Linked DNA regions of Diceros bicornis minor. The protein of the gene in region 1 interacts with the protein of each later gene in a pairwise test. Links are inferred from orthologs where the notes say so. Each region holds a gene or a part of one and is shown in the gene's direction. Other genes may lie near its edges.

Region 1 (7,057 bases):
AAGTGCTGACCTACTGTTTGCATTTACTGAGCAATCTGACTGAGTCGGTTTGCTATAATCCAATATGGAATGCCATGTACTTGCGGCCCTCAGCAAGGACTCGTTAACTTGGAAGGAAATGCTTTTTCTCTCACCCATTTTAATTCACCAACTTTATTACCAAATGGTGCAATAAACAGCTTCACTCTCTTCATCACTGGAATTTCTTTATCCTGACCTCTACGTGTTGGGTATACTCATCTATACATAACTTATGCCTACTCTGAACTTGGAGAAAGGGTTGGGAAAATGTTTGGGGGTGGAATATTTTCGTTTCCCCTTGCTACTGTGACAATTTACCACAAATCTAGTGGCTTAAAAACAACACAAATTTATTATTTTACAGTGTGGAAGTCAGAAATCCAAAATGAGTTTCACTGGGCTAAAATCACGATGTCGGTAGAACTGCATTTCTTTGGGAAGATCTTGAGAAGAATCCATTTCCTTGCCTTTCCCAGCTTCTAGAAACTTCCCGCATTCCTTGGCTTGTGGCCCCACGTCACTCCGACCTCTTTTGGAGTCATCAACTCTCCTTTTCTGACTCTGACCCTCCTGCTTTCCTCTTTCCTTTGTAAGGACCCTTCTGATTACATTCAGCCCACCCGGATAATTCTGGATAATCCCCCCATCTCATGATCCCTTATATCTCTAACTTAATCACACCTGCAAAGTCTCTTTCACCATGTAAAGTAACATATTCACAGGTTCAGGAGACTAGGATGTGAAAATCTTTCAGATAGCATTATTCTGCCTACCACAAGGGGGGTGTCACAATGCCCAGCCTGTACCAAGAGCAGACACTGATGGAGGAATCTGCTTTGCAAAGTATGGGAACACGTTCTCCAGAAACAGAAAGAAAAGGGGAGTGGATGCAGGTTAAAAGAAAGAGGCATTTTATGGTGAATGAGGAGGAGGTGCTTTTCCTGGGGAGAATTAAGGAGCAGGTTGAGAGCTTGGAAACAGTGGGAAAGACTTGGAAAAGCTTCCAAGTCTTGGAGGTGGGGAGTCTTGGGTGTGTACGGTGGGAAAGCCTCCAACTAAGGAAGAAAAAGCAGACTGCCTCCCCCAGGGCTTACCTGAGATGGGAAGGCAGTACCTGAGACTAGAAGGCAGTCACCTGAGTAAGAGGTGGGATCAGAGGTCCCTCCAGTTACCATGAACGTGAAAATGACACGAAACCCACAGCCTAAATAACCGTCTAAATTTTTATTTCAAATTTTACAAACAAACCAAACAATGACATCAGAATAAAAGTAGTTCTAGCACCTCCTTTTTGTTATGCCATTGTTTTTTGTTTTCCATGATTCCTTTAAGAAACCTGACACTAATTAGGCTAGCGTAAGAGGGGAAAAAAAGGAGATGAATCAGAAACCACACTGGAAATGAACCAAGAAATAAGAAAAACCGATCTCTGCCCAAAAGAACAACAATGGTGAAAAATCGTGCTAGCAAAGAGGCTGTATACTGAGAGTTTACATTTTCAAAAGGATGAAACATGGGGAGTCTGATAAGATCTATCAGCTGCTCCTCTTTTCTGAGACATTTGCCCAGGAGACTGCTACAGAAGCTTGGGTGTATTTCTCTCTTGCTGTGTCATAGGATGTGCCTCTACCCTCCCCGCCCCCTCCCTGCTCTCCTGCGGCCTCGGTGCCTGTGTGTGTGTGTGCGTGTGTGTGTGTGTGTGTGTGTGTGTTTGGTCTCTCTCCCCTGTAAGAACACAGCTGCCCGCCTGTCTCCTGCTGTTGCTGCTGCTTTGACTAGCTTTCTGCTGCCTCTTGCCTCTCCTTTCTCTTTCTGCTCAGCTCCTTGCCTTCTGGTAAGTGTGACAAACACTCCCCCAAGCCCTGTGAGAAGGTGTTGGGTGCGGTTTGTGGTGTTCGAAACTTGCACCTTTGAGATTGCCAGTGAACTGTTGAAGAACTTTCCATTGTTGTATTTATAATTAAACTGTGTTGCTCAGGAAGGGACGTGTGTGTGATAATCTGCTGGGACTGCCAGTACACGTGAAAAATTCTCTCAGAGGACAAAAAAGACAGGCAATAAAGTTTATAGAAGATAAAATTTAGAAATAATTTCTTGCTAAATTAATCAACATGGAAGGAGACAATTTAAAAGTAACAGAGGTGTTGGATTTTGTTTTTTTCCTCTTGTTGATTTATCTTGAGGCTACTTTTACGAATTGAGTTGTCCTGTGGTTTATAACAACTCAGTTATTCTATTTTAAAGCAAATGTGGAACATGAGTTTAAAGGATATCCACGGAATTAGTAGAAAAAACATCAATGATTATGGCCTCTGATGAATGAAGAATAGATCAAATACAAACAAAACACTTGCATTTAGACTAACGACACTAAAACTCCTCTAGACAATCAGTTTAAATTCCTTGCTTTGAAGTTTGGTTAACTTTAGATTTTATTTCATCCTAAGAAGCCTCCTAACACTTTAAAACCCACATCTGGATTTAAACCAGTAAATGTTTGCTGTTTTCAATTTGTATTAAAAAGTATTCTCTTCCTTTGATTTTCAAAGATGAAGTGCTAAATGCCAGGGCTCCTTTTAGAAGAGCTTAAAATAACTCCTGGCTGGACAGCAGGTGCCGTGTGTCTCTCTCCAAGTTCAGGGGAGGCGTAAGTTATATATAGATGAGTGTGCCCAACAAGTAAGTGTCGGGATAAAGAGATTGCAGTGATGGAGACAGTGAAGCTGTCTACTGCATCATTTGATAATAAAGGTGGTGAATTAAGATGGGCGAGAGAAAAAGCACTTCCTTCTAAGTTAATGAGTCCTTGCTGGGGGTCACAAGTGGGTGGCAATGTCTGTATGTTGAGTTTTCTGTTCTTGGTGTTCAAGCATTTGACATCAGCTGCCCTGAGGCTGGGGGGAGGAAGCTGTGCAGTGCACAGAACAGTGTGTTTTTGTTTTCGCTCTCAAGCCACACAGCAGCAAAACCTGTGCATTATGAGGACCCTGTCATATTTTTATGCTGCTAATTAGCAGCATCACCATTAAATATCACTTACAAATGAAACGCACCATAACTTAAAGGCCTAAGCCAAATCTATTACAACCCTAGAAATGGCAATAGCCATAAACTCTAGAACCCTTGACTCAGCTAGTCCCTTATCCCCTATTTCCAAAGAGCCCATATTATATCTGGGTTATTTCCCTAGTTCATTCCCTCCCTGTTCATTAAACATTGCTATTTCTTAAAAATTAACTTATCCTAGGGCTTCTTGACTGAGAAGGGAAGGTTGCAATGTTTTTTTCTAAAAGAAAGTTAGTTTTTATATTGGAACAAAAAATACGTTATAGAAATTCAAGGAATTATTATTATGAGTATCACCATGTTTTCATACTAGTTTGTGTGTTAACTTATATCTTCCCTCATTTTCTGTCTTATTTCAAAAACGATGCTAGTTTGAACCTCAAGAATAGTGTTTTCCTGATTGATAATTACACGTTACTCATCTGGGAAAAGGAAAATACCAGAAAAGCAACAAAGTATCTCCTGTAACCAGTATAATAATTCATTTACATCAATGTACTCATATTAATCAAACCTTCATTTATAGATTAAAATAGTTTAGGAATGTTATTGTTATGAATAATTTTAGTAAGTTCAATGGATTTTGCATTAAATGTTTTAACTTTGAAAAAAACAACATTTAAAATTTAAACATTTTAAATGTATACATCCATGTACTTCCAATGACTGTAAATCAACATAGAATTATATGAGAATTGCAACACAAATGGGCTATTCTAAGCAAAATGACAAATATGTCCACCAAAAAGACCAACACCAAAGTATGCTAAAAGACCCAATTTGGAAAAATGGCTTCCTACTGTTCCTACCTACTTAATTGCAATATTGATGGTTTGTGAAAGTACATTCACTCTATGTTAGAAACTGTAATTAGTAGGTATCCGTTTGAGGCTATCCTTACCATTTACATTTAACTAGGTTAACTACATAAAACCTGCTGGGCTTCCACTAGATTCTACTCCCGGTATGGAGACGAATCACTCTGTGCCACTCCCGGGGGACCCCCAATCGACACCTCCTGGGGACATTTCATCATTACCCGCTCAAAATGACCTGGAGAAGCAAGATGATCAGGCTTCCTCAACCCCACTCCGAGCATCAGAGGAGGAGGCAGGTGTGCAGCCTGAGCAGGGAGCTCATGATATCTCTGAAGAGTTGAATCGACAACTGGAAGACATCATCAACACGTACGGGCCTACTGCCGGCACGGCAGGGAAAGGGGGTCCCACCAAGGCCCAGGAACAGCCTGAGAACCCAGAACCACCTGACAATGAGGACGGGGATGGCGAGGAGGCCACTGAAGTGACGGAGAGAGAACCCGTGGCTTCTGGAGAGCCCCTCACAGCCAAAGAGCCTGCCAGCAATAAAGAGCAAAAATTGGAAAAGAAAATCCTAAAAGGATTAGGCAAGTAGTTATGTTCTAATGTATGACTTTTCTTTGAATTATTCCTAAAAGGGGCACTTCCTCTAGCCTTTACTAGAAGCCACATGTCATATTTGGATTACTACAATAGCTTCCTTTAGGATCTCCCTGCATCTTCTCTTACTGTACTTGTCCCCAGGCGTTTCCCCTAGATAGAGTTAAAGTGAACTTTCAACATGTCACCCACCTACCCTCTGTCCTCAATGGCTTCCCACTGCTCTTAGGACAAAGGCCAGAATTCTTAATACGGTCTTTCAGGCCTTAAGCATCTCTCCAGCTTTGTGTCCCATCACTTTACCCCACAACGTCCCCTTCCTGGACACTCTGCCCCTGTCACCACCACCACTGCTACAGCCTAACAGCTAGACATTCTGAACTTCTCTTTCAGTTCTTTGAACTGAAACATGTTCTTTGAACATGCCATGCTCCATCACTTACAGGGCCTGGGTCCCTCCTATTTTCTCCACCTAGAAATTCCTGCCCATTCCCCAGTTCAGCCCTTTGGACACTTAACTCATTTTTCAGCTCACAACTCAAATGGCATCTTTTTAGCCCAACCTTAGATAAAGTCTTCCTGTTTTCTGTTTCTATTGCACCATGCATCTTCCCTTCCTAGTGTCTATCAGCATTTGAGAGTATGCATTTACTTCTGTGATTATTTGGTTCATGCATGACTTCCCCATCAGCTCTTTTACCTCAAGAGCAGAGACTGTGTATATTTGGATATCACTGGATGCCTGGTGTCTAGAACAGTGGATGGCATATGTTAGATGCTCAATAAATGTTTGTTATTAGGATGAATGAATGAGTGAATGAATGAAAGGAAAACTGTTTAAAGCAAAGCTAGTGGAATCTGGATTTAAACAAAATATAAATATAGGGATGGTTCTGTATATAAAATGATTGTCAATTAGATCACTTAGTAGTATGTTCCATTACTATATATTCTTTTATTTAACAAAACTTAGGAAATGTATCAATTATAGAATGTCAAAAATTGCAGAAAATATTTTTACTCTGGTTAGTTAATTGGTTCAGCAAAATATTCATTAATGTCTAGTCTTCATGAGGTACTGTGCTAGGTGCACAAAGATAAATAAATCTTCAAGACCGTTTGGTTAAGGCACTCTAGGTATGGAGAGAGAAACAAACATGCAAACTAGTTGTTACATAGGGCAGTGTGAGAACAGGCACATGAAAATTGTTAGGAGAGCATGGTGGATTGTTTACACCAAAAATGGCTGTGAAAGAGGGTGAGAGAGTTAGTTCTCTAGCTACGAGTGAAAGCATGTTACTGCACACATGAGAGTCCCTCTGTCTTCCTTCCTTGGTGAATTTCCCTGTAGCACTCTCTACAAATGCCACCTCTGTGATACATTCTCTGACATGCCCAGGTAGAGGAAGCATCGCCTTCCTTAGTTCTCCATTAATTTTTCTACAGTAATCTTTTATTTACATGCCTACTTCCCAAGCTGGATGGAGAATCTATCAAGGGCAGTGACCATGTCTTACTCATTTCTGGAAGACAGTGTGGCAGAGTGAAGGATCACAGGTACTGGAGTGAGAACTGGGTTCAGACTCCAGTAACAGGTTATCTGTAAACCCAAAAGTATGTCTATGCTGACATAGGACATCACTATGATGCTTAAAACCCATTGTTGGCAATACTTTCAAGAAGGGCTGAAAGGCACATTCAAATAGCACACCTGACCTACCCAGCGTAAAGATTAAAATAACCCAACTAATACCAAATTCCAAATCGCAAGATTAGCATCACTCTAGTGTTCTGGAACTCTGGGAAAGAGAATGAAGTTGCTTTGTTTTACAGAGCCATTTTTCCTTCTCTATCAAAAGCATCTCAGCAATATCCCTTTGCATTTGTCATTGTTAAACTTTCCATAAGACAACACAAAGTCACGTGGCAGAGATGAATGATTTCAAGTGTACCTAACCAGGAAAGTTCTTTTGCTTATCACTCTAAAACTACTTCTATATAGGAATCTGTATGTGTTGTCTTGGGGGCATGGATATGAAGAAAGCAGAGGTAAAGTTCAAGATGACCACTACTCTGTCTTCCCTGAATTATTTCAAAATCTATGGTAACCTTATAATTACCAATAATCAAAATATTTTAGAGAAAGAAAAAACTCCACAACTTTAGTTCTGCCACTATCTACAGGTTACCAAATTTCAATTGAATGTGTTTGATCAGAACCAATGTTTGTGTATCAGAGCGCCCAGGTGGGTCCACCTAATTACATGTGTGTAAACTGCTGACCCTTCCTTGGCATTTCTCTGAATACTATCAGCATATTCTTCTAAACACTGTACCATTTCAGCTACATTATGAATTAAAACAACATTTTTAGGCTAATCAAAATATGACAATATTATTTCAGTTGTCCGCAAGGGACTTGAGCAGGCTTCTTGGCTGTTTATCAATTAAATGACACTGCACCATCGTCTAGACCAATGATTTTCAAACTTAAGTGTGCACTAGAATCAAGTACAGAATTTGTCAAAAATGCTGTTTCCTGAACACAGAAT
Region 2 (6,844 bases), on another chromosome or scaffold:
ACAAATGAGGAATGAATAAACAATTCAAGGCAGTGTGTGTTAGTAGGAGACTTTCAGAGTGCTGGTATCTCTGAGCACCTAAAGTATGCCTGGGCACCTTGGCAGCTGACCCAGTGTAAAGGGCCCAAAATGAAGGCCACCAACCCCAGGGCCCACTGGGGTCTTGGGCCTTATTGTGAGAGCAACTAAAGAGTATTAGGTGAGAATCAATTCAGAAATTGCAGAGTAAGAACAAAGAAAGTTCTCAAATCAATAAGGGTTAAGTTATAGCCCTTGGGAGTCTGGGGCTATTTCTGGGGCTTGTCAGAACCAGGTAGAGACACGTCCAGCCTGAAGCAGCTTTAACAACATGGGCAAAACTAGAAACTAGAAAAAGAAGAGTGACCTGAACCCAAGGCAAGCTGAAGGAAAGAAATTGTAAAGATTAGAGCAGAAATAAATGAAATAGAGAATAGAAAAATAATGGAGAAAAATCAATAAAACCAAAAGTTTGTTCTTCGAAATGATCAAGAAAATTGATAAATGTTAAGGTAGACTGACCAAGGAAAAAGAGAGAACACACAAACGACTAAAACCAGGAATGAAAGAGAGGACGTCCCTACCTAAAAAAAGGACTATAAGAGAATTCTATGAACAATTGTATGCTAAAAAATTAGATGACCTAGATGAAATGGATAAATTCCTAGAAAGAGAAAACTATCAAAACTAACTGAAGAAGAAATAGACATTGAATTGTCTACTTCAAATAGGTGAATACTATGGTATGTGAATTATATCTCAATAAAGTTGTTATAAAAAATTAAAAATAAAACCCAAAACCCTTATAAAAAAGAAATAGAAAATCTGAGTCTACCTATAACAAGTAAAGAGATTGAATTAGTCATTAAAACACTTCTCACACTCACAAAAAAAAAAAAAAATAAGCCCAGGTCTAGATTGATTCACTGGTGAATTCTACTAATCACTTAAAGAATGAATACCAATCCTTCTCAAACTTCCAAAAAACAGAAGAAGAGGGAACACTTCCCAACTCATTTTATGAGAGTAGTATTACCCTGATACAAAAACTAGACAGAAACATCACAAGAAAAAGAAATAATAATTACAGACCAATGTCTTTATGAATATAGAAACAAAAATCCTCAAACCAATCCAGGAACATATAAAAGGATTGTACACAATGACTGTATTAGTTGGCTAGGACTGCCATAACAAAGTATCACAGACTGGGTGGCTTAAACAACGGAAATTTATTTTCTCACAATTCTGGGGGCTAGAAGTCCAAGATCAAGGTGTCAGTGAGGTTGATTTTTTCTGAGGCCTCTCTCCTTGGCCTATAGATGGTGATTTTCTCTCTGTGTCTTCATATGGTCTTCCCTCTATCTGTGTCTGTGTCAAAATTTTGTCCTATAAGGACACTAGTGATATTGGATCAGGGCCCATCCTAATGACCTCATTTTCACTTAATTACCTCTTTACAGACCCTATCTCCAAATACACTCACATTCTGAGGTACTGGGGGTTAAGACTTCAGCATATGAATTTAGGGGAACACAATTCAGCTCATAAAATAGCCAAGTGGAATTTATCCCAGGAACACAAGTTTGGTTAAACATGAAAATCGGTCAATATTGTACACCTTATTAATAGGATAAAGGCCAAAACCAGATGATCATCTCAACAGAAAAAGCAATTGACATAATTCAACATCCTTTCATGATAAAGTCACTCAAAAGACTGAGCGTAGAAAGGAAATTCCTTAACCTGATAAATGGGGAGGGAACAGCTGGGCCCACTAGATGCCCTGGATATTAAGCTGCACAGTGTCCAGGGCCAGTCGAATATGGAGATAGTGTGCACTGCCCCACACTCAGGACTTTGGGGCTATTTCTGGGGCTTGTCAGAACCAGGTAGAGATACGTCCAGCCTGCAGCAGCTTTAACAACCTTGGTAAAAATAGCAGATGTGATTGTATATGAGCTGGAGAGGGAGGGATTTTAAGGGATTTGGTGGTGGATGAGGCATTAGAGGGTCCCCAGAGAGCAGGCTGATAAGATTTCTGAGTGATGTATCTGAGGAGACCAAGAGGCAGTGGGCGGTGAGTGTGGTGTAGAAGGGGGTACTGGAGGTGAGGGACTCTGGCAACCAATGGCCCAGGAGAACTGAGAAGTTGGGATCACCTGAGGTTGAGAAGACATCCACAACAGGAGGGTTGGCGAGGTGGGGAGTGAGGCTGCCAGGCCCGGGCTTCAGAAAGCGCCATCACAGATGGGTAAATGCTTTTACTCTCCTTCACCACAGGACACTCCCTAGGGTCCAGAGCACTTGGCTGGCCAGGGCCTCCTGGAGAGAGGGAGGGTATATGGGAGGAATGCAGGGTACTGTGGGTGGGGCCTCAAGGTGCAGAAGGAAAGCCCTGGTCCTAGGAAGTGATGTGGAATGCAGGATGGATACTGGTAAGAAAAAGGGATAGAGAGGCTGATTCGGGTTTGTGTTTTATATCCCGAGACCATGAGGAGCCCTAGACTGGCCATCATGTTGAAAGAATAATACCCACTAAATTGCCTATTTGTGGGCTTTGGGAAGTGGATACTCTGCCTCTACAAGTTTTTCACAGTCTTGAGGGCACACTGGAGACATTTGACTCTTGTTTCAGACATTCTCGAGTAAATGGTCTCTACTGTTACCTAGAAATGGGGATTCTTAAAGCTACACAAATGTTTTAGAAATAGACTTTTGGTAAGTGGTACATTGAAGACAACCCAAATCCTCATTTAATATTCTTCTTCTTCTTCTTCTTCTTCTTCTTTTTTTGCTGAGGAAGATTCACCCTGAGCTAACATCTGTTGCCAATCTTCCTCTATTTTGTATGTGGGTCCCCACCTTAGCATGGCTGACAACTGGTGTTATGTCCGCCTCCGGAATTCAAACCCAGAACCCCAGCCGTAGAAGCAGAGCGTGCGGAACTTCACCACTGCGCCATGAGGCGGCTCCTAATATTCTTAATGTGACGATGTCTGCATGGTTCCCAAAAGAAAATAGTAGTGATATAATCCAAACTCCCTGCATGGTGCTACATCACCTGACCCTCCTCACCTAGCCATCCTCGACTCCAGATCACACTTAGATGTGTCTCTCAGGACCATAATGAGTGCTTTGCTATAAAGCCGCAGTTGGCCCCAGCTTCCAAGCAGAGCGGGGCACAGCCTCTGTTTTGAGACCCAAGTAGATGTGCAAGTTTGCCTTTTTCACAATATTATGATATCATTTAACATTGAACAGAAAGCCATTGCTTAGAGCTGACCACTGAACTCTCGTTGGAGTGGGTGTAGGAGCGAGGAGGTGGGGCTGTTGTGGGGTGGGTGGGTAGAGGGTGCCTAGAAGCAAAGGAAGAGAAAAGAACTCAGGCAGTGCAGTGAGGAGTGGGGGCTCGACACCTGCAAGCCAGAGCCTGGGAGCCTGCCTCCATTGTGTGGGTGAGCTGCTGCACCACCTTCCAAGAGAGGCATCAGGCCCTCCCTGCAGAAGCCTGCAGAGGAGACCCTCTACCCTGCGAGATGCAAAAAGGGGTCGGACTGGAAGAGATTTTCGGTGGGCCACCATATTTTCACCCTCGCCTGTGAAGGAGGAGCCACGAAGTCCCGCCCACCAGCCCACTGCATCTCAGTGGCCTCCACCAAGCACACTACGCCCCCATTGGCGGGATGGTGGGCACCGGAACACTGAGGATCCTCAAGTGGCAGCCGCAGTCAAGGCTTGTGTGAGGACCTCTGGCGAGAGGTTGGGCGGTGCAAAGGAGCCGGCACCATCTCTGAACTGCCGTGATCGGAGTGCAGCTGGGAGGCAGAGACTTAGAAGCAAGCCTCGCGCCCAGTGTCACACACGACGGGACCATGTTCCGGTTTATTTCCAGGGCTCTTGCCTTCTGGAGGAGAAGGGACTCGTCGGAGGGACAGAGGGCTCAGTATCTGAGGCTCTTGGAAGGTACTCAACTCATCCCCTCCCTCCCCAGGGGCCTGCACCTAGACTTGTACCCCACTCCTGGTTCTGGGCCTCAAGAGCTCAGACGGGCACTGCATGCCCGAGGCGGCGCCACTTTGTGGGGAGGGCGTCCCCGCGTCCCTGAGCTCGCCTGGCACTCTCCTGTCCGAAGTGTCGGTGGTGTAGACAGAGAAGGCCTGGCCCATAGGGAGCTGTGCCTCACCGTTGCATTTCCCCAGATGCTTTTGGAACTTACATTGTGCATATGTTATGCAAATGTGTAACAGATTGCTTCCCACATTTCCAGTAGTAATGCATCTCCCTGATTTGAGGGTACATTTGATTTTGTTTCCCAAACGGGCATATGTTTTGAAGCCAAGCGGACAGTCATATATCTCGTCGATAGGAGGGTAGGGGCTGCGTTTAACTTGCTCCCTTTGTATTCTAAAAACTTGCCCTAGATTTGGCACTGAGTGGATGACTCAAGGGACACTTTGAAGGCGTCATTTTGTTGGTGGGAATCTGTTAAAACCGAGGTTTGCTGGGGTGGTGGCGTCCCTGCTCTGAATCACGTTGATTCTGACGTGTGTTGAGTACTTGTCTGCGCCAAGCACTGGGCTTGGGCCGTGAGGGCATTCGTGTCATTTCGTCCTCAGAACCCTCCCAGGAGAGAAGCCTGGGTATCGTCAAGTCCGTTTTACAGCCGAGTCGGGGAGACACAACCAGGAACGAGAGGACACGGGGCTAGTCTCACCCAGACCCTGAGGCCCAGCAGTCACTTCCTGACCTCTGTGCTCCTGCCTCTGAGGACTTCCTTCCACGGGAGTCACTTCACAGTGTGCTCGGGATGGTCCTTTGGAAGAGACTCCTAGTCGGTCAGCATTGTTCTCTCAGCGGAGGCCTGGCCTTCCTGCTGCCGGAATCTCCCTGCAGCTTCTGTGCCGGCCGAGGCTGAAGCCCTGCAGAGGTGGCTGAGTCTTAGCTGACGTCCCCACAGAAGGCTGCTGCTTAGCTTTTAGCGTAAATCTTGCATGGCCGGGTCCACTAATTATCCTCACTTTTACCAACTGGATGACACAGGACTTACAGGTTTCTCTTGCTATCGGAAAGTAGAGCGTTCCTATGAAACCTTGCATAAGCCGAAATGGCGGAAAGCAAAGAAGCAATTACTATTAATTTGTATGGGAAAATTTTGCGAGCGTTTCCACACCCAAAAATAACCTACCAAATTAAATCAAGATAAAGCGCAGATGCTCACAGATACAGTTCAAAGCTATGGCAGCTTGATGCTGAGATACTGAGTATAGTTCCCCAGGAAGGAGTCTGGCGGCGTCACTCTTGCTGCTCGGGGTGTGCGCTGCCTCTATAATGGCTCACTGAAAAACAAACGCTGAACGCTTTTTTCCATTTTTGCCTTTTTTCATAAAAGCTAAAATCCACTTCGGATTTCTTTCAGTTAGCGAAAGCAGGTACTACTGTAGGTCTTTCGTAAAAGCGAAGTGGTGTAAATGGAACTTTCGAGTAACAGGGGAAACCCGTACAGTATTTTCATGTGCCTCAGTGGCAGTTGTCACCCTTGTTCCTTTCTTGTATTTTATTATTTCACCTGACAGATTTGACCTATTTTTTTCAAATTTTCAGGATTTTCTTGGCCTCTGATTCCATAATCTATTACGATCAAAATTTTCCCCAGCCATCCTGTCAGTTCCGCCAAGTCTTTGGGGAAGCACCTTACACCTAAGGCGTTGTCCTTCATAGTGTGGGCTCTGCAGGCTGACTCTCTAGGTTCAGATCCCAAATTATGGCTTACTAGCTGTGTTTGTTCAGAAAAAAATAAACCTGAGTGATTCAGATACACATTTGTGCTAGATTTAAATCCCAAGATCTCTTTATGTGCTTTTTGTGGTGAGATGTTTAAGAATCTCCAGATACTGCTGCTGATGCTGTTGTTGATAATGATGGAATTATATAACAATAATGGATGCTTAAAGACTGCCTAGATGCAGATACCATGACAACAACTAACATATAAGCTCTAACCTGTGGGAGACATTCACAGTTCTAAGCAGTTGATGTGTATGCATTAGTTAATATTTATAACAACCCTTTTTTCCCCAGCTTTATTGAGATATAATTGACATAAATCATTGTATAAGCTTAAGGTGTACAATGTGATTTGATATATGTATATATTGTGAAATGATTACACAGTAAAGCTAGTTAATACTTTAAGCTAGTTAATCACTTCACATAATTATCTTATTTTCTTTTTCTTTTTTTGTGAGGAAGATCAACCCTGAGCTAACATCCGCTGTAGCCAATCCTCCTCTTTTTTGCTGAGGAAGATTAGTCCTGGGCTAACTAACATCTATGCCCATCTTCCTCACTTTATATGGGGCGCCTCCACTGCGTGGCTTGACAAGCGGTGCGTCGGTGCACGCCCAGGATCCAAACATGCAGAACTCCCGGCTGCACAAGCAGAGCGCACGCACTTAACTGCTGCGCCACCGGCCCGCCCCTAATTATCTTATTTTCTGTGGTGAGAACATTTAAGATCTACTCTGTTAGGCAGACATTGTTGTTGTCCTGGGTTTACAGATGAAAACAGGTTCAGAGAGGTTAAGAAATGTGCCCAGGGTCACACAGATGGTAAGTGGAAGAGCTGAGATTCAAAACCAGGCGGTCTGGCCCCAGACTCAGTGCTCTTACCAATGGCACTGCACCGCCGGGGGCGTGGAGCCACCGTGCTCTACAGAGAAATGGTGGAACGGAATTTGAACCTAACATTCTGCCTCTAGACTCCTGCACACGTAACCACTAAGCTCTACTGTCTGTGTCATCTGTATCTCAAATCCAGCCCAAT
Region 3 (7,911 bases), on another chromosome or scaffold:
GGAAATGCAAGTTTGGCCTGAGGGGAATCTGGGCCAGACCTGCCCCTTGGTGCCCCCGGCCTGGACCCCTCTGCATTCCTGCTCTCTGGCGGGGCAGGTCTGGTTTCCATCACGCTCAGCCTCTCCTCCCCCGCCCAGGCGGCCACACCGGAATTAAGAGGACCTCTAGGAAGCACGCGAGAGGCCAGCTGTGGCCCCTGGCCGGTTAAGGAGGGGCATATCCCGTGGCCCCTGGACAGGGTAAAGGAGGGTCTTATGCAGAGACCCGGGGAGTCCTTTGCCTGTGAAGACCTCTGTCGGGAAGACCAGGTGCAGCAGCAGTTCTCTGGGTGGAGAGTCCCTGGCTGGAGACCCCGGGTCTGAGCCACAGGTCTTCAAGGGAGGCCCTAAGGGGCATGCAGGGTGGGACTTGATCTCCACTCACAGGGAACAGCTCGGAGCTCCATCCTGAAGAAATGCGTCAGAAGCCAGTGGGACATTTAACAGCCCCACATGCTGGGTCTCCAAACACGGGGCTCCCCACAACATTGCCCAGTGCCCACCATGTTCCTGGCATGGTGCTGGTTGTCCTTGGCATAGACCGAACAGAACCCATGGACAAAGAGAGAGCTAGAGATGAAAACAACCATCCAGGATACTGCTTTCACACTTTTAAAATTGTGACCTACCATAAGTCACATTTTACTATGTACCCTCATCCTCACACATTCTCTCTCCTTCCCTCCCTTTCTCCCTCCCTCCCCCTCTCCCCCTCCCTCCCCCTCTCCCCCTCTCTCCCCCGTCCCCCTCTCCCTCCCTCTCTCTCACTCTCCCTCCCTCTCTCTCTCTCTCCCACCTCCCTCTCCCTCCCTCCCTCTCTCTCCCCCTCTCCCTCTCCCCCTCCCTCCCTCCCTCTCTCTCCCTCCCCCTCTCCCCCTCTCTCCCTCTCTCCCTCTCCCTCCCTCCCTCCCTCTCTCTCTCCCCCCCCCACACACACAATGGAAGCAAAAGCTTCTTGAAACAATCCTTACCCTGCTGTGGGTGAACCCTTCTGATAGTTGACATTCTGTTCTGTTTCATTAAAAAACTGTGCAAATCACCACCCAGTACAATGACTAACGAGTCACAACTTGTTCTTTGAAAAACACTAAACCCAAGGATCTTAATCAATGGTGTGAATACGCCCCTTAGGGGAGGGACCTCTGGTTGGGGTGAACTTGGACCAGGAATCCTGAACTTGAGTTTCCACCTCTGTAAATCAGGTGCACCCACTGACCTGGTGTGAAAGTTGAGATGCAGAGTGCCCCCACATAATAGATGCTCAACAAATGGAATTCCTTTCCCTGAGGCAGAGTGTGCTTTGGGGGGGGGGGTATAGACAAGGGTGACCCCTACACGTCCCTGCATCCGGTTTGCACATCACTTAGAGGTGCCTCTCTAAGACCGTTTAGAGTTTCCCTGGGTACGGGGTCTCAGAGACTTTCCTCCCGGTTTACCTCCCTGCCCTCCCTCGCCCATTCCCTAACCCCGGCTCAGCCTCCCCAGCAGTGGTTTCTCCTGCTCCAGCTCCTGAGCATGGACTGATTCCAAGACCTAGGGAGCAGGCCAATGGGCAGCCTGAGAGGTGGTTGGGGCTTTGGTCTCTAGGGAACGAGGGCATGCTCATTTTCTCCTCTCTCTCTTCTGGGGAGAAAGTGGGTGGGCAATGCTAGTAACCTCCTGCTTCCTGTCTTTCAGATTCTTGGGGCCACCATTGAGAACTCCAAGATTGTCCTGCAGATCGACAATGCCCGTCTGGCTGCGGATGACTTCCGCACCAAGTAAGCGCCTCTGCCCTGGAGGGCTGCAGAAGCCGGGGCAGGGAAGGAGGGGCAATCCCAGGCCCTTTTGGGGCTCAGTGCAGTGGGGGGACTGGGCCCTGCCCTCACCCACCCCAGCTGGTCTGAAGCAACTCCTCCCCCACCCCATAGACTCCTAAACCCTGGGGAGGTGGGGAAGTCTTCAGAGGTGCAGAGGAAATGCCGGCCTGACTGCAGCTATTGCCTCTGAAAGGTTTGAGACGGAGCAGGCCCTGCGTTTGAGCGTGGAGGCCGACATCAACGGCCTGCGCAGGGTGCTTGACGAGCTGACCCTGGCCAGAGCCGACCTGGAGATGCAGATTGAAGGCCTGAAGGAAGAGCTGGCCTACCTGAAGAAGAACCACGAAGAGGTGTGTTTCAAGCTGGGCCTTCCATCCTTTCCACCCTAGCTTCCCAGGGCTGAGGATATTTTTTTATGCTGTATCCTCTGACTGTCGCCATACTTGCTGCACCCTCAGCATGGCCCTGGGTGCAGAGTGTGGCTCCCAGGGTTCCAGCAGGGAGTGGTGGCAATCCAGTCTATCCCCCCATGCTGCCTCCTAGGTCTGCACCTGAAAACCAGCCCCCTTAGGCGTGGGGGCCGGGGGCGTGACCTGGCCCAGACCCAGCAGGCTCTGGGCTCTGACATGCCCACTCTGCTATCTTTCCAGGAAATCAGTGCCCTGAGGGGCCAGGTGGGTGGCCAGGTCAGTGTGGAGGTGGATTCTGCTCCAGGCGTTGACCTAGCCAAGATCCTGAGCGACATGAGAAGCCAGTATGAGGTCATGGCTGAGAAGAACCGGAAGGATGCTGAAACCTGGTTCATCAGCAAGGTATGAAGAGGGAAGCAGATGCCCTTTGGGGAGGTGATCAGGAGGGAGGGCTTGATGCTCCCAGGCAAAGTTCTGGCTCAGGGCTTATTCCTTCCACCTCCTCTCTTATTGCAGACTGAGGAGCTGAACCGGGAGGTCGCTGGCCACACAGAGCAGCTGCAGATTAGCAAGACGGAGGTCACCGACCTGCGGCGCACTCTCCAGGGCCTGGAGATCGAGCTGCAGTCTCAGCTCAGCATGGTATGTGCCCTCAAGTCCTTGCAGGCTTGGGTAGCCTGGGTGGTGGCGTGCCCATTTCCCCTCTGGGAACCATGCTCTGCTGAGTCTCCTTCCCTCTCCCTGCCCTCAGAAAGCTGCCCTGGAAGGCACGCTGGCAGAAACAGAGGCTCGCTTCGGAGCGCAGTTGGCACAGATCCAGGCTCTGATCAGTAGTATTGAAGCCCAGCTGAGCGACGTGCGTGCTGACACCGAGCGGCAGAACCAGGAGTACCAGCAGCTCATGGACATCAAGACGAGGCTGGAGCAGGAGATTGCCACCTACCGCAGCCTGCTGGAGGGCCAGGACGCCCCCACCCTGCTTGTGGGCCCGGGCCGCCCCTTTGACAAGCCGCCACCCCCCAATGCCCACTGAGTCCGGCAGCCTCCTGTGGAGGGATGCCCCTGAGTAGGGGCATGGGAGGGGAGGGATCTTTACTGTGGCTCTCCCTCTGATCTGCCAATAAAATTTTATGGCCCAAGGGAGGAAGGACATTGGGTTTGTTATTTCAGCCCATGGAGATGGGCCAGGCCTTGGCACTGTTCAGGTTTTATTTGGATCAGAGTCCACCCTGTCCAAGGAAAGGGACGGGAGTGCGCTCACAAACTCTGTTAATTGTGATTCCTGTTTGCAGAAGTCTTCGTTTATCTCACCTGTTCCCTAAAACAACCTTGTGAAATAGGCATTGCTTCCATTTTACAGAGGGGTAAACTAAGGCTCAGAGAAGTGAAGTGATTTGTTGTATGTATAACTATTCTAACACACGGCAGAGGTGGGATTTGAAACTGGTTTTGCTTCCAGATTTCGTTTTCTTTACACTGTGTTCCCCCAAGGGTTGGTGTGTGTGTGTGTGTCTGAAATTAATGTTTACTGTATACCTACTATGTGCCATTTAATCAACATAAAAAGGTAGATAGTATGAGTTACATCTTATAGAGTGGGTAAAGTAACTTGTCCAAGGCCACACAGCGACTACGTGGCAGAGCCGGGACCAGAATCTAGGGTTCCTGCTTCTCTTTTTTTTTGTTTTTGTGAGGAAGATTAGCCCTGAGCTAACATCTGTTGCCAATCCTCCTCTTTTTGCTAAGGAAGACTGGCCCTGGGCTAACATCTGTGCCCATCTTCCTCTGCTTTATATGGGATGCTGCCACTGCATGACTTGACAAGCGGTGCATCGGTGCGTGCTCGGGATCCAGAGCCCAGGCTGCTGAAGCGGAGCGCATGCTCTTAACTGCTATGCCACCGGGCTGGCCCCAGGGTTCCTGATTCTTAACCACAGTGTCACCCCTGCACCCCTGTGTCCTAGGATCCACCCTGCTTATGCCAAGTCCTCAGTACACTCCAGTCTTGCTCCATGTGAAGGCCTAGGACCAGGATCCCCTGAGGCAGTTCACTTAACTGAAGGAGGAACTGCGGCTTTGGGGTCAGAGCCTGAGTAATGGGGGGGGCAGGCATCCGCTCAGAGTAAGGCTGGAGAGGGTGCATCTGCCGGTGTGCGTGCACTAACACATTCATCCATGTCCCGGGCAGCCCTGCATAAGCCCCTATGCCCACCAGCCATGCCTGGGCCCAGAGCCTGGAATGAGACCCAGACCTCCCACACAGACCCCCAAACTGGCCTGCCTTGGGCTGGTTCCGGGCCAGCAAAGGAACGCCGGTCCCAGCTTCCTGGTACTGCTCTGCCCTCAGGTGGGTCTGGTCCTGCCCCTGTGGTTTATAGCTTGGCTGCCAAGAACTGAGGCCAATTAAGGGTAAATAAGTCCTACTTCGCCCTGGCTGAGAGATTCAGGCTGAGGGAGTCTGTTCAGGCCCTGCAGATCTGTGTGACAGCAGGCCAATCCTGTAAGGGACACTGCTCCTTCCCCCAGAAGGTCTGCTATAGGGGAACAGATTGACTCTTGGCTAAGGAGGCCCGCAAAGCCGATCCTGAAGGAGGTCCCCTTTCCGCCGTTTCCCCTGGGCCTTGGAAAAGTTTATTAGCTTGCTCCGAATCAACGAATCAACGGGTGACCCCAGAGCCCAGCTCTTCCCTCTCCCTGCTGCAGCCCTGGGCCAGGAGCCCCTTCTGCCACGTCCCCAGCTCTTCTCCAGCCTCCAGCCCCCACAGCTCCCTCTCCTACTTAACTTCTCAGGAGGCCCTGGAGCCAGAGGCCAGAGGCCTGGCCTTACTGCCAGGCTGGGACTTCCCAGGATGTTTGTCCCAGTTCATGAAAGCCTCTGTTGTTGTCACAGCTGAAACCCTCCCCTCTGCCCCGAGGCTCTTAGAATGTGGCTGTAGGTCTGGGGCTGGGCCCACACAGGTGGAGCAGGTGACTGGGTCCCAGGTTTGGGTGTCAGGAATGAAGCCCTCCTTTGTGTGTGTGTGTGTGTGTTGGGGAGGTAGGGGTGAGGACACTTTTCTGTCTCAGTCTGAGAATTGAAACTAGGGGTGCTCTGTTGACAGAAGTGGCTGGGATAGAGGAGAGGGAGAGGGGGAGAGAGAAAGGGGAAGGGGACAGGGAGGTGAGGTCTTTCCACCCCGGCTGGTCATCATGACCAGTTCAGTTTGCAAAGCATTTCCTGTCAGTTCTCTGCTCCATCCCTGTGAGTCAGACTGGGCAGGAGTTATTTCCATTTTCCGATTGGCAGACTGAGGCTCAGAGATAGGAGGCTCCATTACCCCAAGCCACATATCTAATGAATGACAAAGGAGCAATTCTCCAGGCCCCAGATCATACGCTCTCTCTGTCCCCTGCATCTCCGTGGGGAGTGGGGGAGGGGGGTAGCGGATTCTCAGGTTTATGGAGGCACCCCTCCCCATGTGCCATTAAATGCTCACTGTGGCCCTGTAGCAGGGGTCAGTGTTAGTGACTCAATTATTTTTTTTTTTTCAAATTGTCATAAAATACACGTAACAAAATTTACCATCATAATCATCTTTAAGTGTACAGTTCTGTGGCGTTAAGTACATTCACGTTGTTGTGCAACCGTCACCACCATGCATCTTCATTACTCTTCCCATCTTTTAAAACTGAAACTCTCTGCCTATTAAACAATAACTCCCCATTCTCCCTCCCCTAGGCCCTGGCAGCCACCATTACACTTTCTATCTTCATGATTTTGACTACTCTAAGGCCTTATATAAGTGGAAAAATGTCCCAATTTTAAGTCGGGAACCTGGCTCAGAGAGGTTGTCACACCCAGAGGCGGAGTCCAGCCCAGGCTCTTTCCGCTGGGCTGCATCGTCCCACCCCAAGGACAGAGGCCGGCTCTGGGGACGGCCTGTCTGTCTGCTGTGGGCAAAGGACAGAAACTGGCACAGCCTCCTGGGCGGGCTGCCAGAGGAAGGGCCTGCAGCCCAGGCTGGGCCCAAAGGAGCTGGGTCTCCGCCCGTGCAGCCATCGCCACCTGGTGCTAATGAGCAGGCCCAGCCCCACCCAGACCTAGAGCTCACAGGAGCTCTTTAGGCTGAAACCAGGGATTTGTGACCGGGGCAGCTGCTGCCTCAGGCATGGGCCTGAGAGAGGAGGGAAAGCCACCTCGAGGGGCTTCTGGAGGGGAGTCAGGGTGCAGAAGAGGGGCTGGCTGGGGTCCAGTCCTGCCTCACCCTGGGTGATGGCGCATAATTTTTTCCATGTTAATTGCTGGGCCCTAATGACTACAGAGGCTTTAATGAGCTACGGCTGATCTGAGTTTGATTATTTTTCTTTCAGAGGAAAAGACAATATCCGCCCACCCATGAGACAATACAGCACTGTCAGGGCTCAGCACTGGGATGCTCGGACGGAGGCCTGGCTCACTGAGGGACAGCCCGTCCCCACTCCCCAGGCCAGCAGAACCAACACCACCCACCCCCCCGCCCCCAGCTACCAGCTCAGATGCACGAATCTGGGGTCTGTGGGAGGGACTCTTTTTTCCTGTCCTCTGTTTAAGTGGGGTCAGAGGACCCACTGGAGTCCTAGCGATGCCCCTTACTAGCTGTGCCACCTTGCACAAACTGCTTCCCCTCTCTGAGCCCCAATTTCATTTCTTTTGAAACAGGGGCAGGGATCGTCTTCTATGTCGTGAGGATTGGAGGAGGCGATGGATGCAAAAGGGCTCTGTTAAACCGTGAAGTGTGCGGTTGAAGGTAAGGGATTACTGTTGTTACAGCAATAATGGCAACCACCTGCACTGGGTGCCCAGTGGGGCTGGCTCTGGAAGAGCAATGCTGCAGGACGAAAGTCCCTCCTGGTGAGGGTACGCGGGAGTCCCAGGTACTGGACATGCACCCTGCTATCCGGCCCCCAGAAGATGGGGAGCCAGGATGAAGCAGGATGGGGGCCCTTGGGCCTCAGGGCCTCCCCATAAGTGAGAGCTGAGAGTGCCCCTTGCCACAAGGAAACAGACTTACAGGTAACACGTCCAAGGTTTCACAAGCAGTAACCCATAGAGCCAGGATTTGAACCCAGGCCTGAGGAACACCCGAGCGCTGTCCACTTCACCGCGCTGCAGCCCTGGGCCAGGAGTCCTCTTTCATCTCCAGCTTAGTCTTGCTCACCTCCCCAGCCTCACGCCTCCAAGTGGCACTGTGCACAGGTACCAGCTACCCCTGGAAAGCTGGCCCCTGAGCTGGTGACAGAGAAAAGGGCTCTCCTGAGTGTTTGACTCCCCTCTCTGGCCTCAGCAACCTGCTCTGTGAAGTGGTGCCTTGGCCTTCAAGATCTTCGAAGTGTCTTCCAGTCTGCCCACCAGGCCTCCATATTTCCTCCCTTCCCACAACGTTCAGGCACGTAGAGCCTTCTGGGCTAGGTCCCGCTCCAGCGCCACATCACTTTGCAGGACAAATGGGGTTAATCTGGCCCAGCTATGCAGCGACATGCCTCTCCCCGGAGGAGGAGGCAGGGGCTTCCCAGAACGTGTTCCAGTTTTATCTGCAGAGGTTTGCCCCGACGTGTTCCGGGAGCAAGCAAAGGTTCAGGGACACGTGCGGTCGGCAGGTGGCGGGAGGATCAATCAGCCCCGTGTCAACCCTGAGCCTGGTGGC
Region 4 (7,949 bases), on another chromosome or scaffold:
GAGACGCCTGCAGTCTGCCTGGTGGGAAGCAGTGGGTCTGGCTTGAGTGTTGACAACCATAATTCTCATTTTGCTGCTTTTGAGACAGCAGAAAAAAAAAGAAGAAAAGGCTGTCTTTTAAAAAAAAAAGAAAAGGGCAAGAGCCTTTAAGAGTTAAATTACACAACTCCCTTTTTATTTTTAAAGTCAGTGGATTCCTTGTTGCTGTTGCTGAAAAAGATAAATTGATACCACATGTTGCTTCCAGACAAAACCCTCTCTGTGTTCCAGGGGAAGCACATGCAGCTGGTGTCTGGGTTGGTGGACAGTCTCCACACGGTAAACACAGTTTGGAAGGGGCTGAAGCGGACACAGGGTAGCAACAGTTAAGAAATTACCAGTTACTCCTGACTGGCACAGCATCTTTGAAATTCTTTTAAGAGTTTGAAATCTTTTCCTGGAAGGAGCCGCCCTCACACCTTTTGGCTTAAAGTATATGGTGCTCGGAAAACAGTAAGTGAACATTTGTGATGTCACTGCTTCCGTATGTGGGATCTGACAGTTGAGAGCCTCTTTTGTGCTTGGCACTCCAATGAGTACTCTGCATGCGCAATTTCATTTACTCTTTCCAAATATCCTAGAGTTAGGCAGAGAGGGTGTTTTTATCCCCATTTTATGAAAGGGGCAACCAAGGTTAAGTCATTTGCCCAAGGTCGCAGGACAAATGCCAGGGCCAGGATTCCGACTCGGATCTGGCTGACATCAAAGCCTGCGGTCTTTCTTCGGCATCACGCTGCCTCCCTCCGTTGGCCTCCTTAAATGCATGTGTGAATTATCCACTTTGTAAAGTATTGGTGGAATACTTTTTCGTTTCAGGCAGCTTCTCTCCAACACCTAATCTGATCTGTTTTGGGTCCATCTGTCTTCACAACCAGTTGGCATATATGTAATCACTATGTGCACTTTAGCATTAGCAATAAATGCATCTTGCAGTAGACAGCTGCCTTCAGTATAGCAAGAAAAATAATTACCAGATTCTGATGTGTACAGTCATCTTGATGCTAATTTCTTCGAGGAGGGCCAAGCGAAGGGATCCCTAGCCTGTGGCCCACATGAACCACAGTAAGCATAGCGTGACTGTGGAAGGAGAGTTGCCTCATGCTGCCTCCTACACACTGCTGCACATACCTTGAAATATTAGGCCACTAATTGCAACTGCAATCACAAAGGACACCATTTAGCCAGTTGTTACTAATTAACTACACCTAATTTCTGTCCCAGAGCAGAGCTTGCTTCTGTGTAAATGGTTTTGTAAAAGAGAAGATTGAGGGGGCTGGCCTGGTGGCATAGTGGTTAAGTTTGCACACTCTGCTTCAGTGGCCCGGGGTTCGCAGGTTCGGATCCCCAGTGCGGACCTACGCACAGCTTATCAAGCCGTACTGTGGCAGGCGTCCCACATATAAAGTAGAGGAAGATGGGCACGGATGTTAGCCCAGAGCCAGTCATTGTCAGCAACAAGGAGAGGATTGGCAACAGATGTTAGCTCAGGACTAATCTTTCTCACCAAAAAAAGTAAGTAAGTAAAGAGAAAATGACATAAAAATGAGATGAAGAGTATTCTTATCTCTGCTCTCTCTTCAGACACGTTGTGATGGAGTTGCTTTAAGGGTTCCCTAAATCTTTGGATCCATGTTGGAGAAAAACTGGTATATTTATCCCTGAAGCTCAAGTTTCTTTCTAAAGATGGTGCTTTCTTGTAATTCATCAGTATCCTGATTTCTTGGTAGTGGATTTGACTAACCGGAACTATTCAACATGGTCTGGGGTTGAGGTTATAGTTGCTTCTTGGTGCCTTTAGTTAGTAAACTTGATGACAGAATGGCCTGAGCTCTAGCAATAGGAGTCTTGGTTGGTAATATTTACCTTTTCGCCTTAGCCTTAAGGAGAGCACATCCCTGGTACTTCAGCCAATTAACATTGGCCTGCCTCACAAGGTGTTTCAAAATGTGTATTTAGATGTGATCAGAAAAACCACTCTAGTCCTATCAAACCATTCCTCCTTTACCTTCAGCTCCTGATCCCCAAACTAATGTAAAATCTTAGAAATTTAGACTATTTGGTAAGATGATATATGAATTAGTGGAAAACCATAGAATATTTTTAATCTGGTAGTTTTATAGTTTAAAATACACATAGTACATTAGAGACTAATTGACAGAGCCTAATGGAGAGGTCTTTAGAAAACTTAAACTATAAATCATAAGAGGATTTTACAGTTGGCTTGCCTATTTTTATAAATCCCACTTCTTTATTCCTGGGATTGAGGTGAGGGAGGAGCAGTTTGAAATCTTACAGAAATCATATCATCATTAGTTTTTGTCATCAGGGAAGGTGTGGAGAAACATTGCAGTTCTGACATTTTATCCAGCATTTATTTATTTACCTTTTCCTGCTTCACCAAAATTTAGATAGAGAAGCTAGTGATTAGAATCACGACCTATGAGGGAAACCAGAATACAGTTCTGGCATCTGACCTTGTCAGAGTGAGGGGCCATATTTGTTAGCTTCTGTCAATGCCCTGCCTTCAGATAATGGATTTTGTAAATGGAAGGCTGGCCAGCCTGTATGGATAGAAGGCTGCTAAGAAAGGGGACTATGAGGATGGTGGTGGCACAGTTTCTGTTTGTGTTGTCTCAGTAATGTAACTGGAAAAACCTGTCTGAGTGTTGTGTAGGTAATACACCTCAGGGAATGTATTCTGCCACTAATAACCTCTAAAACAAGAATAGAGCAAATATTGGACACCGAAGCTAATCACCCGTGTAATAAGTTGGGTTTTGTTTCAGAATGGTAACCACTGCCCTCTCCTTAGAGTGAATGCTGTGGTGGGCACCTTAGCAAAGAAAGCATCTGCTCAAGTGAGCCTTCACTTATAGGTTTGCTCTTCTGAAAGACAGGCTTTCTTTTAAATTTTTTTTTTTTTTTTTAATTTTAGAAAAGACCCACCAAATTATTACCCCTAACTATTTTGTAAACAAAATTGCAGTAATAAGATTGTGCTTTTGTATCTTTCTTTCATAAATGTTTGTTTCTTTAAATGTTAGCACAGATAGGTTAAACAATGACTTCTACATAATTTGGTGACAGACCTTTGGTTCTTATAGACACTAGCTGTGTGACCTTGTGTGAGTTATTTAATATCATCTCTCAGCCTGAGTCTTAAGATATATGATGAGGGCACTGATGCCAACTTTGCAGGTTTGTTATGAGGATTAGAGACAATGAATCTAAAGCCTATGGCCCAGTACCTGCTGGTGCTGTAATCAGGCAGGCTCTCCGTTCTTCACCCTGGAAGTTAGGGCCTGGGCTCTGACCCCTGCAGATCTGTTCCTAGGTATGGGGATGCCAGCCCCTCTACCATGTACCCTTACAGAAGCTTAATTTTTATCTCCAAATTTTAACCAATTGTAGCTTTTCATTTTATAAAATTACACGTATACATTGTCGGGGTTTAGAGTTGTAGTAATAGATGACCATTAGAAAATTCATACAGGGCATTTTGGAGATCTCTAAATTATTTCTTTTTTTTTTTTCTCAGTTTGGAATTGGTTAAATTAAAAATACATTTTTAAGAAATATTGTTCCCTAAATGCTTTTTAAAAGGAGGATAACTGGATACTTATGATTGGTCATTGTTAATTCTGAATGTTGGTCTGAACTCTTTCCAAAATCTGGAGCAGAGGGGCCTGGCCAGGGTGGGGGTGACTGGACCAGTGTCCACGTGGCCCCGCATAGCCTCAGCCTATTTTTCCACCAAGAAGATGAAGCTTAAGTTTTTGTTTAATATATCTAGTCGTGTGAATACTCAATAGTAGAACCACCTTGCACTTGCCTGCTTTGTGAATCCCACCAAGTGAGTTTTAAGAGCATGCTTCAAATCCATTTTACAGAGACAGTGTTTTACTTTTTAAAGAAATGTAATTTCTGAACCATTAGTAGAGATGCCATTATTCTTTTAAGAACCATACGAGTGAAAGGGAAGCAGGATATATAGTCTCCTGGGCAACATTTGTCTCATCAGATACAGGCCTGTTGCCTGTTTGCTTCTCACAAATGCATCTTTATGGCCACCGTAGAAATGCCAACTTTTGACCCACGGTTGTTGACGCTCACTGCCCAGCCTGAACTGTAGGCCTTCCTTGCACAGAAACATAGACGTGGGAGGTACTGTGAGTATTTTGGGTTATTTACTTATGGTAACATCCCGCTGACTTGCTGTGTTTTAAAAACATTCTGGTAGAACACATGTATTTGTATCTTCTACATAAATACAGTTGGCGATTGCCAATTTTTTTAAAACTATGGGAACTTTTAGGATTGTTCGTATTTAATGCACAGCATCAGGCAACATCTTATGTCTTTAACTTGCAAATAAAAACTCATCTGGCCTGCAGGTGCTGTTCCAGATGTGGAGAATCCATCGACTCCTCTCTCTTATTCCACGTGAGGCATTTTACAGATTAAAAGGAGCTCGCACAGGTGGTGAGCTCTCTCCACCAGGGACTCGGTGCTTTCTAATAGCGTAAGAACACTCTGATTTCGTACGTGACTGGCTCCTAAAGTATCTTATCATATATCATCCTTACGTCATCCCTGTCAGGGAGGGGTGATTTGGATGCTATTAGGGCTGTAATGAAGATGGAGAACTGGAGTTATTGCAGATGGGTTAAGTGATTTGCTCAAGGTCACATGGTTGGTCACAGACAGAGATGGGACTGGATCTGGGTCATGCTGTCAACTGGGCTTATCTACCAAGCCAGGAGGAGGATTCTTGCAAGATGGGTGTAGTCATTAGTGTTTTGAAGCTATTTTTCCCTATTTCTCTTTTCTTTTTTTGTGAGGAAAATCAGTCCTGAGCTAATATCTGCCAATCCTCCTCTTTTTTAGCTGAGAAAGACTGGCCCTGGGCTAACATCCATGCCCATCTTCCTCTACTTTATATGGGACGCCGCCACAGCATGGCTTGACAAGCGGTGCATCGGTGCACGCCCGGGATCCGAACCGGCGAACCCTGGACCGCCGCAGCGGAGCGTGCGCGCTTAACTGCTTGTGCCACCAGGCCGGCCCTCTCTTTTCTTTTTTAATAAACCTTTTAATTTAGAAGAGTTTCAGATTTACAGAAAAGTTGCAAAACTAGAACAGAGAGTTCTCATATACCCAACATTGTTTTCCCATATTGTTAACATCTGTTAGCTTGGTACATTTGTCACAATGAATGAACCAATATTGACACATTATTATTAACTAAAGTCCCTAGTTTATTCAGACTTCCTTCATTTTTACCTAATGTCCTTTTTTTGTTCCAGCCTCCCACCCAGGATACCACATTATGTTTGGTCATCATGCTTCTGTAGGCTCCTCTTGGCTCTGATAGTCTTGAGGAGTACTGGACAGGCATTGTATAAATGTCCCTTAATTGGGATTTGTCTGGTTTTCTCCTGGTTAGACTGGAGTGATGGATTTTGGAAGGAAGGTGCCATTTTCATCACATTATTTGAATGCATGTCATCACCATGACTTATCCTGTTGATGTTCCCCTTGGTCACCTGGCTGAAAGAGTGTTGGTCGGTTTTCTTCAGTGTACAGTAACTCTTTTCCCGCCTTTTTGTACTGTTCTCTTTGGAAGGAAGTTAACTATGCTCAGACCACATTGCCTTGAGGGGAGAGTATCTATAAATTATTTGGAATTTTTCTGAATGGGAGATTTGCCTGCTTCTTCTGTCATTGCTGCCATTTTTTCCTTAAGCCTGCCAGACAGGTATGACATTGTGGCAGGAGGAGACGGAATCATAGAAAGGATAGGTTAAAAATGCACTCCAGTTCTGAGCTCATAGAAGTTAAGAAAAGGTAGATGCTGCTTCTATGCTGGTGGAAGAGGGGACGATGAGAGAATAAATAGCCCCTGGGTGATTCATTATCCTAGAGCCAGGGAGGTGTGTGGCGAAGTGCGGGGAGAGGGTGGTGTGGTAATAAATTATAAGTGTGAACTTCAGAATAGGAAATACAATTACAGAAAGGACAGCAAAACTTAGGAATTTGGGGAAAACAATGTCAGTGAGCTTATACATTCCCAGCATCTCCTGGATATGAAACCATCACCCACCTCCTAAATATAAAACTTGCCGTTTACAATGTTGTCATTTAACTCCAAGCCAAGGCGGGTCCTGCAGCTGTTTGTCTTTTTTTTTTTTTTTTAAGCCTCTGAAATTGAGGAGTTTTTAAAAAATGAGTCCGATTAACTGTTTCTTCTCGGTACTCAGTTTGCAACATTCAGGCTCATCTTCTGCATTTTCCCTTCTCTCTGCAGAACTCTATCCGGCACAACCTGTCGCTGCATAGCCGGTTCATGCGGGTCCAGAATGAGGGGACTGGCAAGAGCTCTTGGTGGATCATCAACCCTGATGGGGGGAAGAGCGGGAAGGCACCCCGGCGGCGGGCCGTCTCCATGGACAACAGCAACAAGTACACCAAGAGCCGTGGCCGTGCAGCCAAGAAGAAGGCAGCCCTGCAGACAGCCCCCGAGCCAGCAGACGACAGTCCCTCCCAGCTCTCCAAGTGGCCTGGCAGCCCCACATCACGCAGCAGCGATGAGCTGGATGCATGGACGGACTTCCGCTCACGCACCAATTCCAATGCCAGCACAGTCAGCGGCCGCCTGTCACCCATCCTGGCAAGCACAGAGTTGGATGATGTCCAGGATGATGATGCGCCGCTTTCCCCCATGCTCTACAGCAGCTCAGCCAGCCTCTCACCCTCTGTAAGCAAGCCATGCACCGTGGAGCTGCCACGGCTGACCGACATGGCGGGCACCATGAATCTGAATGATGGGCTGGCTGACAACCTCATGGATGACCTGTTGGATAACATCACGCTCCCATCGTCCCAGCCATCGCCCCCCGGAGGGCTCATGCAGCGGAGCTCTAGCTTCCCATACACCACCAAGGGCTCCGGCCTGGGCTCTCCCACCAGCTCCTTTAACAGCACGGTGTTCGGACCCTCGTCTCTGAATTCTCTGCGTCAGTCTCCCATGCAGACCATCCAAGAGAACAAGCCAGCTACCTTCTCTTCCATGTCACACTATGGCAACCAGACACTCCAGGACCTGCTCACTTCGGACTCACTCAGCCACAGTGATGTCATGATGACCCAGTCAGACCCCTTGATGTCTCAGGCCAGCACCGCTGTGTCTGCCCAGAACTCCCGCCGGAACGTGATGCTTCGCAATGACCCAATGATGTCCTTTGCCGCCCAGCCTAACCAAGGGAGTTTGGTCAATCAGAACTTGCTCCACCACCAGCACCAAACCCAGGGCACTCTCGGTGGCAGCCGTGCCTTGTCGAATTCCGTCAGCAACATGGGCTTGAGCGACTCCAGCAGCCTTGGGTCAGCCAAACACCAGCAGCAGTCTGTCAGCCAGTCTATGCAAACCCTCTCAGACTCTCTCTCAGGCTCCTCCTTGTACTCAACTAGTGCAAACCTTCCGGTCATGGGCCATGAGAAGTTCCCTAGCGACTTGGACCTGGACATGTTCAATGGGAGCTTGGAATGTGACATGGAGTCCATTATCCGTAGTGAACTCATGGATGCTGATGGGTTGGATTTTAACTTTGATTCCCTCATCTCCACACAGAACGTTGTTGGTTTGAACGTGGGGAGCTTCACTGGTGCTAAGCAGGCCTCATCTCAGAGCTGGGTGCCAGGCTGAAGGATCACTGAGGAGAGGGGAAGTGGGCAAAGCAGGTCAGTGCCCAGTGCTATGGCATGATAACCCAGTGGGGATGGTTGGGGGAGGCTGTCTTTTATTTGCTTTGAACTTGACTCCACATTGAGAATTTGAGAACCGTGGAGCGGTGGTGCACAGTAACATGGCTGCCGCCAACCAGTTCATCTCCAAGTTTTACCTGCAAAAC

What was found.
Region 2: the proteins of TXLNB (region 1) and CT55 interact in binary tests that used the Homo sapiens proteins (3 or more experiments, as listed by UniProt). The two-hybrid records come from large-scale screens. The link is inferred for Diceros bicornis minor from reciprocal best matches to the Homo sapiens genes TXLNB and CT55.
Region 3: the proteins of TXLNB (region 1) and keratin, type I cytoskeletal 15 interact in binary tests that used the Homo sapiens proteins (3 or more experiments, as listed by UniProt). The two-hybrid records come from large-scale screens. The link is inferred for Diceros bicornis minor from reciprocal best matches to the Homo sapiens genes TXLNB and KRT15.
Region 4: the proteins of TXLNB (region 1) and CEP57L1 interact in binary tests that used the Homo sapiens proteins (3 or more experiments, as listed by UniProt). The two-hybrid records come from large-scale screens. The link is inferred for Diceros bicornis minor from reciprocal best matches to the Homo sapiens genes TXLNB and CEP57L1.

What each region holds. Positions count from the first base shown.
Region 1 is NC_080778.1:19,217,716-19,224,772, reverse strand, and holds the start of TXLNB (beta-taxilin), read left to right. Parts: upstream 1-4,053; coding exon 4,054-4,492; intron 4,493-7,057. UniProt on the Homo sapiens protein: Promotes motor nerve regeneration. May be involved in intracellular vesicle traffic.
Region 2 is NC_080781.1:123,058,389-123,065,232, forward strand, and holds the start of CT55 (cancer/testis antigen 55), read left to right. Parts: upstream 1-3,824; 5' UTR 3,825-3,893; coding exon 3,894-3,984; intron 3,985-6,844. UniProt on the Homo sapiens protein: Plays a role in spermatogenesis, possibly acting in the regulation of the autophagy pathway.
Region 3 is NC_080757.1:40,843,709-40,851,619, reverse strand, and holds the start of keratin, type I cytoskeletal 15, read left to right. Parts: upstream 1-4,907; 5' UTR 4,908-7,911. Other genes in the region: KRT19 (keratin, type I cytoskeletal 19), read left to right, coding at 1,717-1,799, 2,032-2,188, 2,489-2,650, 2,765-2,890, 3,000-3,281.
Region 4 is NC_080762.1:26,352,917-26,360,865, reverse strand, and holds the start of CEP57L1 (centrosomal protein CEP57L1), read left to right. Parts: upstream 1-4,945; 5' UTR 4,946-4,956; coding exon 4,957-5,070; intron 5,071-6,346; coding exon of another isoform or gene 6,347-7,744; exon of another isoform or gene 7,745-7,779; intron 7,780-7,949. Other genes in the region: FOXO3 (forkhead box protein O3), read left to right, coding at 6,347-7,744. UniProt on the Homo sapiens protein: Centrosomal protein which may be required for microtubule attachment to centrosomes.